Saccharomyces cerevisiae S288C: one gene and its partners. Changing the gene in region 1 together with any one later gene gives a genetic interaction. Each region holds a gene or a part of one and is shown in the gene's direction. Other genes may lie near its edges. The genes, in order: RSO55, YGL140C, MIY2 and PST1.

Evidence for each region.
Region 2: mutations in RSO55 (region 1) and YGL140C together harm fitness more than expected from each alone (negative genetic interaction), as found in Saccharomyces cerevisiae (one large-scale study listed by BioGRID).
Region 3: mutations in RSO55 (region 1) and MIY2 together harm fitness more than expected from each alone (negative genetic interaction), as found in Saccharomyces cerevisiae (one large-scale study listed by BioGRID).
Region 4: mutations in RSO55 (region 1) and PST1 together harm fitness more than expected from each alone (negative genetic interaction), as found in Saccharomyces cerevisiae (one large-scale study listed by BioGRID).

The regions. Positions count from the first base shown.
Region 1 is NC_001144.5:703,956-706,776, reverse strand, and holds RSO55 (Rso55p), read left to right. Parts: upstream 1-1,816; coding exon 1,817-2,284; downstream 2,285-2,821. Other genes in the region: ECI1 (dodecenoyl-CoA isomerase), read left to right, coding at 1-579; PUT7 (Put7p), read right to left, coding at 647-1,591; YLR278C (uncharacterized protein), read left to right, coding at 2,753-2,821.
Region 2 is NC_001139.9:240,799-246,841, reverse strand, and holds YGL140C (uncharacterized protein), read left to right. Parts: upstream 1-1,829; coding exon 1,830-5,489; downstream 5,490-6,043. Other genes in the region: FLC3 (putative flavin adenine dinucleotide transporter), read right to left, coding at 1-1,126; ubiquitin-ubiquitin ligase HUL5, read right to left, coding at 5,757-6,043.
Region 3 is NC_001148.4:183,030-186,238, reverse strand, and holds MIY2 (ubiquitinyl hydrolase 1), read left to right. Parts: upstream 1-1,559; coding exon 1,560-2,642; downstream 2,643-3,209. Other genes in the region: NAB3 (Nab3p), read left to right, coding at 1-922; pheromone-regulated protein PRM3, read left to right, coding at 3,183-3,209. UniProt on the Saccharomyces cerevisiae protein: Hydrolase that can specifically remove 'Lys-48'-linked conjugated ubiquitin from proteins. Has endodeubiquitinase activity.
Region 4 is NC_001136.10:561,577-565,428, forward strand, and holds PST1 (Pst1p), read left to right. Parts: upstream 1-1,950; coding exon 1,951-3,285; downstream 3,286-3,852. Other genes in the region: SCF E2 ubiquitin-protein ligase catalytic subunit CDC34, read right to left, coding at 1-751; EMC10 (Emc10p), read right to left, coding at 3,447-3,852. UniProt on the Saccharomyces cerevisiae protein: Has a partially redundant function to ECM33 in cell wall integrity. May be involved in a repair mechanism activated in response to cell wall damage.

The DNA.
Region 1 (2,821 bases):
GAAACAAGCAAGTGGGTGTCAAATTTTGTCGCTAGAAATGTTTATGTCACTGATGCCTTCATCAAGCATTCCAAAGTTTTAATTTGCTGTTTGAATGGACCAGCAATAGGGTTGAGCGCGGCACTGGTAGCGTTATGTGACATTGTGTACAGTATAAATGACAAGGTTTATTTGCTATACCCCTTTGCTAACTTAGGACTAATTACCGAAGGTGGTACAACGGTCTCTTTGCCATTGAAGTTTGGCACAAATACGACGTATGAATGCCTCATGTTCAACAAACCATTCAAGTACGATATAATGTGCGAGAACGGATTTATAAGCAAGAATTTTAACATGCCATCTTCAAACGCTGAAGCGTTCAATGCAAAGGTCTTAGAAGAATTGAGGGAGAAAGTGAAAGGGCTATACCTGCCCAGTTGCTTAGGGATGAAAAAATTGCTGAAATCGAACCACATCGATGCATTCAATAAGGCTAACTCAGTGGAAGTAAATGAATCTCTCAAGTATTGGGTAGATGGAGAGCCCTTAAAAAGATTTAGGCAGCTGGGCTCGAAACAAAGGAAGCATCGTTTATGACGTCCGCTTTCTCAGTGAAACAAAACGCACACACAATATACTTATGTACAGACAATATGTATGCTAATTAATCTATATCATGTTGATCTTGAGGGAAGGTAGTATCAATGTCTTCCTTTGGTGCTAAAATTTCAGGTTCCTCAGGTTCCTGTAAACCTGGGCGTTCCTTCTTAGATGCGCTTACACCGATCATAATCGAACAAACAAGGACTAATATTACCAAAAGACCGCTTCTGGTTGTCTGCCATCTTAAATTTTCGATATGTGACCTGATATCCCCCAGTATCTTGGTTTGAATCTTGTTAGAACAGTCGTTCAATTTCAGGTTTAATTGTCGATACAAAAGGGTGTTTTCTAATTTTTGATTGTTAAATTCTAATTTAGCGTCCTTTTGCAAAAGATCTATTATGATTTCATTCAGTTCATCATGGATTGAGTTAAGTTCTCTCTTGAGTTTTAATAATTGCAAGTGGTGCTCATTTAGTTGCGTGTCTCTAGAGTTTTGAATTGCGAATTTCAATTCTGTTTCTAGCGAGCTGAACAAATGTGATTGTTTATTCAGCTCCATATCCCTTAAGAACAAATCATTGTAACAGGAATAAAACTGATCATTTAGTAGTTGCAACAATAGAGCTATGATAATTTTACATTGTTCATCGGAAAAATTGCCTCTTTCACGAAGCATTTGATAAAACTTTATAGTATCCAATTGATTTTGTGAAGTAGTAGGTTTCAATCCATTGCCCTGAGTAATAAAGTCCTCTGAAAATCTGTCTAACAGGCCAATGGAGTGCTTTCCTTCGTTTTCCTTCTCTGGCTTCTCCTGCTTCTCCTTGTTCTTGGATAATGGCGATGAGGATAGGTCTGATAACTGGATATTTTTCAATGACATTGATTTCTGCAAAAGTGGTTTTGAATACGAACTAAAGCACCGCAAACACAACAACGAGCCTTGCCGCCGTATTCTAGTTTTGAAGCATCGAAGCGGCAATGTACGTATTAACCGCATCATTAGTCTATTAGATGTTCAGAGTTTACATGTATACATAAACCTCTTCCATTCTTCCTTTATCGATAAAATTACTATACACTTAACTAAACTGTGCATTTTCCCCGGACTACCATAGCGCGCTATACGTTCCTAGAACGGATATGAGTTTATATATAAGTCTATGCTACCAACCTACAAGCTATGCGACCCTGGAAAAAGCGCAGAAGAATCCGAGACTAGTAAACTATGATGAGGGGAGCGAGTAAGAGGTCAATCAGCAGTGCCGCAGTGCTGCTGATTAAAAAGAACAAGCTACCACCGCGACCAAAGTTCACGCCAGAGATGGAAGCACAATGCACTGAGAAATTCCTTCATGGCGGCAGAGGGCCCGGTGGCCAAAAGATTAATAAGTGTAATTCTAAGGTACAACTACGGCATGAACCCACTGGGATCGTTGTCGAGTGCCAAGAAACGCGGTCACGTGAGCAAAATCGAAAGCTTGCCCGGCTTAAGCTCGCGCGCGAACTTGCGGCGTCGTACGACACGATGCCGTCCAGAGAGGAGGCGCTTCTACAGTGGCACCGTCAACAGAAACGCTCGCAGCGCCGGCGCAGCGTCGCGAAGTACGAGCAGCGTGAAGAGGCCGCTCGAGTCGAAAAAGAGGAACGCGAGGCCCGAGACAGAGAAATGGTGCGCGAGTTATTCCGCCGGTAACCGCAGGTGAAATTAGATGGAGGAGAAAAGAAAAAAAAAAATGAAAAAAAAAGTGTAACTTTGCTAAAATTTTCACCTGCGGGTACCGTCGGTCAAGACGTGGGTTGCGAACAAAAACCCTGGAACAACAATACATTGAATAGTTCCTGCTCCTGCACACTGCACGTTGAGACCTGAATCGCATCGTGTGGTGCTTATACGCTAATCTTTGTTAGCGGACATACTTTTTCTTTTTCTTTTCGCCTTTTCTTAGTATCTTTCTTGGATTCTTAACTATTTTGCTTTTTTTAGTCATTCATTATATATGGTTCTTTAGATCGGTCGTTCCATTAACATTTTTTTTTTTTTTTTTTTACACGTCAATAGTATAACTTACTCCCCACCATTTTTCCACTCTTTCATAAAGACAAGTGTATTTCACGTACTCATAATCTTCGGGCTAACTACCAACAATACACGTAAATAATAATGGGCCGTCCAAGGAAGAATGTTAGCCAGGAGAAAATACAACAGTTGAAGAGAGAACTGGAGCTGGCC
Region 2 (6,043 bases), on another chromosome or scaffold:
TTAAGATCATTCTCCATTGTTTCCTGAATTCCCAAAACCTTGCCTTTTGGATCCATCCTAACCGGGTGGCTAACTCCACACAGCATTTGAATACTATGATAAATCCAGCCAACACATATCCACATAAGACGAAGAAAGTAAAACCGGTACAAACGATGGACGTATTTTCGATTCCCATTTTATAGCCTAGCCTTTTGATTCCTCTAAAAATTAATGTATTTGCATTACCATACAAAACATTGGTAGCTCTTTTGATTAATGGGAGCTCCATCAAATATTGCCAACTTCTTTGAGCCAAAACAGACATAGATGTTGAAGTCAGATATAAGCTAGGCGTACCACCAGTGGATTGCACATACCACCGGAAAATCCTTTGCATGAATGAGATTCTAATTAACCCCATTGACCAAACCAAGTTTTCCGCCCAGGCGGCTGCAATAGGCGGAACTCGATGAACATGTTGCATGGCAACCACGACAACAGATTGGAAGTATAAGAAAAGTGACATTGTGTTGGCAGAAATATGTGAGGCTGCGGTAGAGTTCCCAAAAGTGGATAAGATGGCAGATAGTAAAAGACCAATTCCCGCTACCACTGCAGTTGCCCATTTTACACCAATCTGAGAAACTGTTTTACCGTTTGAGAAGTATATTTGGATACATGCTAGGTACTCGCTCACATTGTTGGTGATCTTGACCCTGGCATATGCGTCGATATCGGGGACTTGGTATGCAATACCAGGAATTTCATTTACGTACTCACTGGAGATGTATTCAATAGAGTCGATCTGAATATTACCTGGGTGAACCGGGCAAAACTGTTTCCAGTTGATTGAACAAAGATCGACATTTTTAGTAATGATCTTGAAACCATATGCGTAGACATCAATATCAGCAAAAATATATGAATCAATTTGAGTTGACATATCAAGATCATAATGTAATGACCTGTCGTCTGGATTGAAAACAACGTCAAAACTATTTGCTGACAGCTGCGAGTTTTCCATACATGTGACCAATGATGTGGCTACCAGCTTCCTTTTTGCCTCTGCAAGATTTACTTTACTGGCTAACAATATTATTAGTCCAATTAATGCCGATGATTTATAAACCTGAAGAAATCTCATGCCTGTGAGGGGTATACTTTTCTAGTCTCCACTATTTGTTGTTGTTGTTGTTGTTGTTGTTGTTGTTGTTGTTGAAATTTTTTTATTTATGGCCCGCTCGTAAATAAAAAGACCTTTCTTAGCTATACTTTGCAAAGAAGTTTTCTAGTACCCACCAATGTTGATTGGCACTCTATAACGAATGACGTCTTCGAATTGTTTTGTTGTCTTTTGAGCGTTGATCTTCTGGAAAGCGGATGAACAGAAGCGTTTTTGAGTTAATTTGATAGCGTCCGTAAGCTAGTAAATGGCACGGACAGCAACAGTATTCAGATATTCTTTTATCCCCAATCCCAACGAAGACTACCTTTTCATAGTCAACAGTTAAAGGAATCAACTATTTGAAGCTAAAGCGATGGGCCGCTGCTAGGGAAAAGGAAGCAACCATTACCCTCCTCATAAAATTGATAGGTCTTCAAAAGGCTGAGACTGATAAGAACTACCAGTTTGATGTCTAAAGAAAGAAAAGAGAAATCCAGGATCTACCTTCATCTCTATTAACACCTGCTATCGAGAGGTTATAATTGTGGTTGTGGCCTAACTACGTATCATACACTATTTTTACTTTATTCCTATCCTATCCTGGAGTTCGAAGAGAACATATTTTCAAGCGAGAAAATCTTCCTTATCCTTTGCATCAATTGCTTGACTTCATTATTTGTCCATGTCGCTTAAATCAAAGTTGACTAAGATTCAGAAGTTATGGCTGTATTATTTCCCCTGTGACAGAATCCTCGCGAAGAGAATATGTAAATCGACTGTTAATACTACGGTAGCTTTCATATTTTGCTTGATACCTAAGATAACTGCGCATTTGGGAGCAGCTCCTGCGATGCTGCCAATGATTTCTGTTATTGTTCACCCTGGAAGAAGGGTCGGGGGTACTATCCATGGTGCTATCTATTGCATAACTGGATTGATATTTGGCCTAGCTTACGCAATCTTCGGCCGGTTCCTTGCGCAGCGATGTTTAGGGAGTTCTTGGCATGAGCTAACAGAGGCACAGCAGCACGTATTGCACTATAAAAGATATGAAGCGGGATTAGCAATTTTGGCTGTTTTCGAAGTAATTATGCTTTTTTTTCATGGTTGGATGAGATCTGTATCACACTATTACTTTGGTATTGTTTTCCCACTTTTTGTCGTGGTTCATTTCGCATTTATGGATCCTTTGAATGAAACAGCAGGCACTATTGCTAAAGCTTATAGTACGCCTTTCTACCTGGGTATTGCAATGTCGATTTTCTGGAATCTTGTGTTGTTTCCTGAGTGGGGTACCACATATTTGGGTAATACGACTATTGATGCTATGAATGAGCTCCATAAGTCCATTGACTATTCGATAAATTTCTTCATTGCAGTTGACCCGCACAATAGTAGCCAGTTGTACAGTAGAGATCCTGTTTCGTTAGGCAAGCTATTGAAGATGAAGTCACTGATTTCTTCTAAAGTTAACAACTGTCGAGTAGTACTTCACGAGTGCATTTATGAGTTTACTTACGCTTATGTTTCGCCAACTAAACTAAAGCCAATCATATCTACTTTGGAAAATTTGACAGTCTTCATTAATGGATTAGTTAATACATGCCAATTAGAATTTATTTTATTGGCAAGACATGATAACAAGCTCAGGCCTGATGATGTCGCAGCTTTGACACTGCCAAAGAACAAAGAAATCAGCTTTGCAAATGCTGAGAAGTTGTTGAAAGTTATTGACAAGTTGCATCCAGTGATTTATAGTCTACACCGGACAATGAGTGAATGCATGTACATAGCAAAGTTGGTACTTGCTCATGCATTTGATGTGAAAGTTTCAAGGGTTCATTCCTGCTCAATGTTCAAAGATGGTAACTTCCCAACATTCAGTAATAACGCCAATAATCTGCCCAATGATGTTGACATCCAGAACAAGATCAATGACCTGAAGCAGGCGTTAGAAGAATGTAAAGCAAAATTCAAGTCAGAAATGTTAAGTTTTGATATTGATATTATGAGTCCTAGTGATGAAATGTTTTTGTTGTCTAGCTTTCTACTAAATTTTAGGCAAACTGCAGATTCAACTTTGGTAATTATGGAGTCCGTCAAGGACATTTTAGTCAAACGTCAAATACAAGAGAAGAAGGGCTGGCTGAGAGGCAAAAGACTTTGGTTTTTAGTGTTGACCAACTACGAGACATTTTCTATCTGGTTAAAAGGCGATAGGAACTCAGTGACTGAAAATGATACATTAAAGGGTACGTTCAATGGTAATACTAATGGTTTTGCTCATGACACAGTTATTAGAAGGCCTGATTATGAAGAGAATGAACTTTTATCTCAAAAAGTTTCATCGAATAAGAACATTGTAAAAGATGATGCATCGCTAGATCTGCCAATGACAAGTGAACCCAAAGGAAATTCATCTTCTACCTCTGACACTTCTTCGTCGCCATTAACGTTAACGAAAACAACTACGTTCGGAACTAATAGAACTTCCAGGAGGCAAGGCAGATTTTCTTTTATGTCCATGCTTATTTCAATTGATAAGTTTTGTGAAGTGTCACATCCTCACTTTAGATTTGGATTTCAGGTAGCCATTGCATTAATGCTGGCTTCATTTCCGATGTTTATTCCAAAGACAAGGCAGTGGTACATAGACTATCGTGGTACCTGGATTGGTTTCGTGTGCATACTTTGTTTGGAACCTTCCGTAGGAGGTACGTTCTGGGTCTTCTTTTTGCGTGCTGTGGGGGTTATTTTTGGAGCAGCCTGGGGTTATCTTTCCTATGTTGCTGCTGTCAACCAAACCAATCCATATTTGGAGACAGTCATCACAGTTTTTGGAGCCATTCCTGGGTTTTACTATTTATTAGGCACACCCTATGTGAAGGCTGCAATTATTGAAATTATTAGTATTTATATTGTTATGCTTGCAGCAATACTTCCCTCCCAAGATGATATATTGACTAGTTTCGCCAAGAGATGTTTAGCTGTCGGCTATGGTGGAGGGGTAGCATTAATAGTTCAAGTCTTTTTCTTTCCATTGAAGGCACGGGAACAATTAAATGAAGAGATTTCTTTTGTCTGTGGCTGTATATCGGAAATGGAACTTCTCTACGCCACCGGACTGGAAGGAGAGCAAGTCGCAAGTAGTATGAGTGAAGAGAAATACAAAAAAATCGAAAAGATATCAAAAAGTGCTAAAGAGGCGTTAGCCCGTGCTACGGCCTATAAAGGACTAACCAGACAAGAGCCGAGATTAAAGGGTGAATATACCGAGTTGGAAAATGTTTTCACTCAAGTTATATTTATTCAGAAGCAAATAATAGAGAGGATAGATACAATTTCCTTGCTGAGAAAGCAAAATGGAAGTGCGGTTATTGAAGAATTTAACAGTGTTGTATATCCATATCGACGCCAAATGGTTGGAAGTATTTCTTGCCTAATGAGAGCACTTCAAGAGGCATTTATAAATAAGACCCCGTTACCGCAATTTTTGCCCAGCGCAAGAATTGCACATAGAAGGCTGATTAATAAAGTGCGCCAAACTCTGCGAATAAGATATCCTGGGCAGATTTCAAATTTAAGTGATAAAGCAAGAAAGCCAAATGAAGGAGATTACGCTGACGGCAAGGATGAAGATGACGATGATAACGAAGGTTTGGTAATGAAAATGAATAGAAGGGGACAGGCCAACACAACAGCTAATCCTCATGAATATGTTTTAAAAGAAAAATTTTTAAGTTGGAACGCATCTAGTGCTGCATCGGAAGAAATAATTGAGTATATTGAAGAGCTGTTGAATTTAACTAAAATTCTGGTCGGTGTAAATGAGTTTAAATACGGGTTTTTATCGCGTCCACTTTACGAGGACTGGGCTGCAGAGGCAGTAACAGGATTTGATAATTTCATTAACGGGAAAAGCAATCCTATGAATACACGGCGCAATCGGACCCCATTTGATGGTACTTCCATCATTTCCGAAGGAAATGAAAGTTTACAAAGTACAAATTCTAATGAATCTCAAATTTCTCCTGATTCCACAAGAAGTTATGAGCCGGAATGTCCAGTGGCATACGAAAAAAATGATAATCCGGCAGCGTTGAATTTATTACGGATTGCTTCTCATAAAGCAGGCCAAAACGCGGATGGCTTACCAAAGACATTTAGAAATAGAGCATTTTCCATTACTTCTACCTCCGGCCAACTTTCAAGCTTAAGCAGACACAGCACCCTTGGTAATGCGGATCCTAATTATCTGAACGATGATGATGAAAGCTCTGATGATGATTTGCCATTAGCTTTGAAAATGGTGCTAAGTCACATGAAAGAAAAGAAGGACTAAGATATTGAAAAGTCCTAATGTAAGATAATTACCAATTTCATATTCATTGTCGATTTCACTTCGCTTAAAGAATTTTTACTGTTTGTTTTTTGTAAAGCCTTTCCAATAAAAAATAGAATGATAGATAAAGGTCATAACTAGAATGGTGGCGAACAAAGCAAAACTTAAATTATCTCTGCATACAAGCGTATAATTTCCTTATCTATAGTAATATATAAGAACTAGAAATCTGCCTATTAATTAATTACCTCCCTAATCTTCTGGGAATTATGATAAGTCAAACCTGGCGCCTGAGTTTATTGCATATAATAATTTCTCTCTCAAAATTGTTTTGTTTCTATAATCTGGCAATTTTAATAAATTAACACAGGTAGATGCCGTAGGCAGCCTGTATTTCTCTGTCCCTGCATTTCTGATACCAAATTTTGGATCTAATGCCTTGAAGCCTTGCAGAGGAGCTTGCGGAACGGACGTGACAAATTTCAAAAAATTCAATTTCTCTTCAAACTTAAACTCATTCAAAACCTCCCAAAAATCAACAATTGTCTGATCTT
Region 3 (3,209 bases), on another chromosome or scaffold:
TATCAATGATGCCGCATATAATGGGGTGTGGGGCGTTGTTTTAGTTAATAAAACACACAATGTAGATGTTCAAACTTTCTACAAAGGCTCACAAGGTGAAACGAAATTTGATGAATATATTAGCATATCCGCTGATGACGCAGTTGCCATTTTTAATAACATCAAAAACAACAGAAATAATTCTCGTCCTACTGATTACCGTGCTATGAGCCATCAGCAAAACATATATGGCGCTCCTCCTCTTCCTGTTCCAAACGGCCCAGCTGTCGGACCTCCTCCTCAAACAAACTATTACCAGGGTTACAGTATGCCTCCTCCACAACAACAACAGCAACAGCCATATGGTAATTATGGGATGCCACCACCATCCCATGACCAAGGATATGGTTCTCAACCTCCAATTCCAATGAATCAGAGCTACGGTCGCTACCAGACTTCTATTCCACCACCACCTCCACAACAACAAATTCCTCAAGGGTATGGTCGTTATCAGGCTGGTCCGCCTCCTCAACCACCTTCTCAAACTCCAATGGACCAGCAACAACTATTATCTGCCATTCAAAACCTTCCACCTAACGTTGTATCGAATTTGCTTTCAATGGCCCAACAACAGCAACAACAACCTCATGCTCAGCAGCAATTGGTTGGTTTAATACAATCAATGCAAGGCCAGGCTCCTCAACAACAGCAACAACAGTTGGGTGGATATTCCTCTATGAACTCATCCTCTCCCCCTCCTATGAGTACCAATTACAATGGTCAAAATATATCTGCAAAACCCTCTGCCCCACCAATGTCACACCAACCTCCGCCACCTCAACAACAACAACAACAACAACAACAGCAACAGCAACAGCAACAGCAACCTGCTGGCAATAATGTTCAAAGTCTATTAGATAGTTTAGCAAAACTACAAAAATAGACTCCCTTTTTTCAATCTTTTCCATTTCTTGTACATTATACTTGAATTCTTTTAATTGGACGAAAAATTTTTAAGGAAAGTAGATTGATATGGTTTGCATAAATTCGACATAGCGGTTTATGCTTTAATCGTTTTCCCTTCCCAAATTGGACTAGGACTTAATTCTTACTATTGCTGCATCTCTTTCAGAACGAAAAACTCTTTACCCTGTTATAAATTTCTTTTATTTCTTCCTTATCAAATGCTATTTGGTCTATTTATTTCACTTACACGCACCTCTTCATTTGTTTCCTCTGCCAAGAGAATGGCTTTTCATTTCTTTTTCTTCTCTTTAGTTAAATGTTCTTATATCAAAACTTTGTAAAATTGCTTTGTAAACAGATTATTAAGTACCGCTCTATTTACCCCATAACGAAAAGAAGTTCCGCGCTTAGGACACCTTTCCCTAGAGGTTCTTGTTTGATTTGTTTTAGTCATCTGCCTGTCGTTTATTTTAGTTTCGCAGTATTAACAGCGAGCAGTACGAAAAAAGGGTCTTGAAAACGTTGGACAAAATGCCCATTCTACAAGGCGCTTTAAAGAACAGCTCAAAGTAGATTCACATCACTGCAATTCTTGTTTATTGCAATATCTTTTCATGGATTTAAGTTTCACGACTAAAAGTGTCAAAATTAATGGTCAAAACCATCGAATATTACTGCAAAACGAAAACGGACCTTGTGCCTTGTTAGCACTTGCAAATATTCTAATACTTTCACCAGATCATACACGTTTTTCCAATGAGTTAATAAGGTTGGTAAATAAGGGAAGTCAAATATCTTTAAAAGAACTTATTGAAGTCTTAGCAGATATCGCTTTACAAGTTACAGATAAACCTAGTACTGATATAAGTGAGTTACTAAGTTTGTTACCTAGATTACATGAAGGTTTAAATATTAACCCTGAGTTTAATGGGTCTTTTGAAAATACTAAAGAGATGTCAATATTTCGATTGTTTAACGTTGATGTTGTCCATGGCTGGGTTATCAACAGTTTCATAAATGAAAACATTGATGAGAAACTATCTCATTATTCTTATGAATCTGCGCAGAGAATCTTAACACAAGCAGCTGATATAAATTGTGGAATTTCCCAAGATGAAAACTCGGACGAAGTTTTACGTGATGCCATGCATTTGGGTCTGTTTTTGAACGAATCACCGACTCAGTTGACCGCCTTTGGACTCCTACGATTGAGAGAAAAGCTGCTACACAACAAATTCTCCATTTTATTCAGAAATGACCATTTTTCTACATTGTTCAAATACGAAGATCGATTATACACATTGGTTACGGACTTTGGTTATAAAAATTGTAAAGATATTGTATGGCAATCCCTAGATTCGGTGGACGGCTCCTGCGATGCTTTTTTTGCCGGTAACTTTAGTGCAGCAGAGGTAAATGGACAGCAATTGTCAACTGACATTGAACGTGATTTTGGAACTGGAAATTTGCTACTTGAAGAAATTCAGCAAATTGAAAACGATAAAGAACTAGCCAAACAGTTACAGGAACAAGAACAAGAACGTGTTACGAAATTTGAAGCAAAAAGGAAAATCCATTCTCACAAAAAAAACTCAGAAATACACGCACCAGTCAAAAAAGACAAGTTTAAGCGAAGAAGCAGCCTTCTCAATGCAAAAGCTTCTGAAAAAGAGAAAAGTGAGTGCGTTGTTATGTAAGAGCTGTTCACTTGTTTTTATCGTATATCCTCGCGTAAAACATGATTAATCAATCTGTTCGCTTTAAGGAAGATCTCATAAGGACACCGACTCTCTAATTATTCTGGAGATATGTGGACCCCTACAGGCGTGATTTTCTGTCTAAACATTGCCACATAAAACAGGCTTGACATTATATTGGCCATTTGATTTATACTTGTTTCAGATCCTTTGTCGGGCCGGATTCTAAGAGCGCGCGCGAGGCGTCGAAATAAATCAAATAAGAACTAAAATACATAATTCTTGTCACAATGGATTGAATTTCAGTGCATAAGATTACATTTGTCGGAGCTATAATTCCATTACGGCAAAACAGAACTGAAACAAGTATATTGGCTATCTCTAGTATAAATTGTTGTAAAACTGACATCATATGGAACCAAAGTAGTAGACTCGCATTTGCAAACATATTTAAAATACTTGGAATAGATTTCACCAGCCTCAAGATAAATTTATAAACACATTAAATAACTAATAAATATATAAATACTTCTCCAAAAAATGACAGCAATGAAAGAAGACAACGCT
Region 4 (3,852 bases), on another chromosome or scaffold:
TTCTTTCGTCATCGTCGTCGTTGTCGTTATAGTTGTAAACGTCATCATCTTCAAAGGGGATATGGTTGTTTCCATCGTCGTAGTCGTCGTCTTGTAAAATGACGGACCCGTTCTCATCGTCGTCCAAATCACTATCATACCAAAAATTATCCGCCATATCCTTATTCGATTCTGGTTCATCTAGTTTACTTTGAGATATGTACGCCGATTCAGAAGTGGGCATTATGAAACCTTTAGGGATATCTTGTTTCGATCTTTCCACTTCCATTTTGACTCTTTGCTTGTATTGTTCAGGGTTCTTTCTGTAATCAACAGCGGCATCGACATTTGCTGGCGAGTTGATATTGGGGTCCTCTAATAGAGATACTATAGAGATCAACACACTTTCCACGGTCTGCACGGGGGACCACGTTTCAGCATCAGGTTCGTCGGTCATAGGATCCCCACTTTGATGTAAAATAGAAATACAAAGCCTGCCATCCCTGTAAACGTTTGGATGGTAGATAGCCGGCGTAAATCGAAACTGTGGTGGAGAAAAGGGAAAGTCTTCCGGAAATCTCATTTGAGCTTTGAAAAACCCTCCATGATAAATGGAATCCTCATTTAGCACCATAACACCTATGTTCCAAGTGAAAATATTTGAATCATCCTCTAGTTCTATATGAAATGAGGGAATAGCTTTCTTAGGATCAGTAAGTTCTCTATATTGCCGTAACAGTAAGCTAGAAGCGGTGCTTTTGCGACTACTCATATTTACGTTGTATTGTTCTTTTTTCCTTGTTTGGTGTACTAAAAAATAACAGTCGCTATAAGTCCTAAACAGTAAAGGACAAAGATGTCAGCGGCAGAGAGTATAAAGGAGTACTATTCGACTGAAATAACAAACGCAAAGCTCCTATTATTTTGTAATAGTATGCTCTTTATTGTCCTTCTTAACTTTAAGTTTCTGCTCTTGTTCTTTACAGATTCAAGAGGAAACCAAAAAAAAATCAAAGAAAAAGAATCGAATTTTTCCCAAAATGAAAGTGTAAGGAAAAAAAAAGAGGAGATAGAAAATCCGAAGAACCCCAAGGGACGGACAAACACAAGACGATGCTGCACGTGGTTAGTTTTGTAAGCGCAGGTTACGATAAAGAGCATAAACAAATCATTACTAAGAGCGGTATACAAGAATAAAGTGACAAACAGTTCTCCCTATTTAACGCACTTAACGTAGGTTCCATCATTATGATGCTATTGCCACATCAAATCTCCTTTGGACTGAACCCGCATTAGTAATTGCCCGCTTTTCTTTTCTTCCGCGGGTGGGCCCCATAAATAGAAAAAAAAAGAAAGAAAGCGTTTAAATAAATAGAGTGAGCGGATTTCTATTATCTGAAAACCGGGTTATAATGCACGTGATATGCACGTGGGAGCTGGGCGGCTATTTTTTTCTTTTTCAAATGTATTTGAGTCGTTTAAAATAGCACTCCCCGTTGACCCGCCAACTCATTTTTGTTTTCTCTTTACGGAAAAGGCTTTAAATTAAGGCCCGCATTTTCGGTATCCTTGAGGGAAAAAAACCAAAGAAACCCAAAAAAGACCACAAAGCTGGGATATCTTAATTAGTAGAGAGGGCTTTTAGTTTTAATAGTGTTACGAGTCTCTAAAAATAGCGTAGGCACACTGCCCTGATTCGGACTTTGATCAGAGTTTATTACTACAAAGAGTAATGTTGAATGATTGGGCTGGGTTTTCATAGCATTAACTCTAAGTAATATCATTCAACCGCTCAAGGTTCCTTACGAGCAAACCCATATATGCTCTACAGATAAACATATAAATAGCGTGCATATTCTTCTCTATTCAACTCTTGCTCTGTATAGTTCAATAGAATCTTACAGTACATCACGCTGCAATAGATCTAATCCAAGAGAGAAGCAAAAAAAAAAAGCTCGCTATAAAAATATCATGCAATTACATTCACTTATCGCTTCAACTGCGCTCTTAATAACGTCAGCTTTGGCTGCTACTTCCTCTTCTTCCAGCATACCCTCTTCCTGTACCATAAGCTCACATGCCACGGCCACAGCTCAGAGTGACTTAGATAAATATAGCCGCTGTGATACGTTAGTCGGGAACTTAACTATTGGTGGTGGTTTGAAGACTGGTGCTTTGGCTAATGTTAAAGAAATCAACGGGTCTCTAACTATATTTAACGCTACAAATCTAACCTCATTCGCTGCTGATTCCTTGGAGTCCATCACAGATTCTTTGAACCTACAGAGTTTGACAATCTTGACTTCTGCTTCATTTGGGTCTTTACAGAGCGTTGATAGTATAAAACTGATTACTCTACCCGCCATCTCCAGTTTTACTTCAAATATCAAATCTGCTAACAACATTTATATTTCCGACACTTCGTTACAATCTGTCGATGGATTCTCAGCCTTGAAAAAAGTTAACGTGTTCAACGTCAATAACAATAAGAAATTAACCTCGATCAAATCTCCAGTTGAAACAGTCAGCGATTCTTTACAATTTTCGTTCAACGGTAACCAGACTAAAATCACCTTCGATGACTTGGTTTGGGCAAACAATATCAGTTTGACCGATGTCCACTCTGTTTCCTTCGCTAACTTGCAAAAGATTAACTCTTCATTGGGTTTCATCAACAACTCCATCTCAAGTTTGAATTTCACTAAGCTAAACACCATTGGCCAAACCTTCAGTATCGTTTCCAATGACTACTTGAAGAACTTGTCGTTCTCTAATTTGTCAACCATAGGTGGTGCTCTTGTCGTTGCTAACAACACTGGTTTACAAAAAATTGGTGGTCTCGACAACCTAACAACCATTGGCGGTACTTTGGAAGTTGTTGGTAACTTCACCTCCTTGAACCTAGACTCTTTGAAGTCTGTCAAGGGTGGCGCAGATGTCGAATCAAAGTCAAGCAATTTCTCCTGTAATGCTTTGAAAGCTTTGCAAAAGAAAGGGGGTATCAAGGGTGAATCTTTTGTCTGCAAAAATGGTGCATCATCCACATCTGTTAAACTATCGTCCACTTCCAAATCTCAATCAAGCCAAACTACTGCCAAGGTTTCCAAGTCATCTTCTAAGGCCGAGGAAAAGAAGTTCACTTCTGGCGATATCAAGGCTGCTGCTTCTGCCTCTAGTGTTTCTAGTTCTGGCGCTTCCAGCTCTAGCTCTAAGAGTTCCAAAGGCAATGCCGCTATCATGGCACCAATTGGCCAAACAACCCCTTTGGTCGGTCTTTTGACGGCAATCATCATGTCTATAATGTAATGGAATGAAGAAATATTCTTCATTTTTGATAACTAGTACCTGTCATTCACGACATGTGAACAAATAAAAACATTTATTTAAAAATTTTATGTATTCAAATATTTTCGGGAAAGAGATAAAAGTAACGACACTTAAAAATTTAAAAAATCACAATACTTTATTTACTCAGTCTTTTGATCAGCTCCGGCACCTCCTTGTTGTTGCTTCTTTGCTGAGCCCGCAACAAAATTGTAAATCAATAGGCCTAAAAGTAACATTTTCCAGTTCTTTTGAAACCAAGACACCTCCTTAACCTCTTCATCTTCTTCGAATTGTGCAGTGCTTCCATCCTTATTCTTACTAGCTTTTTTATCAGCATAAGTTTTGGTTTTCTTCTTTAATTTGGTGACTGGTGCAGTAGGTCCCGCTTCTGGATATCTGACTGTAGCAGTAATAGCATCGTTAGTCTCGTCATATGATAACGACACTTGTTTGACCTCATTATCTTCATCTACATCCACAATTAAATCGTATTTTAGTGGTGTCCTCAGCTTCATGTAGCTAAAACATGGCATATCCAGCTTACCT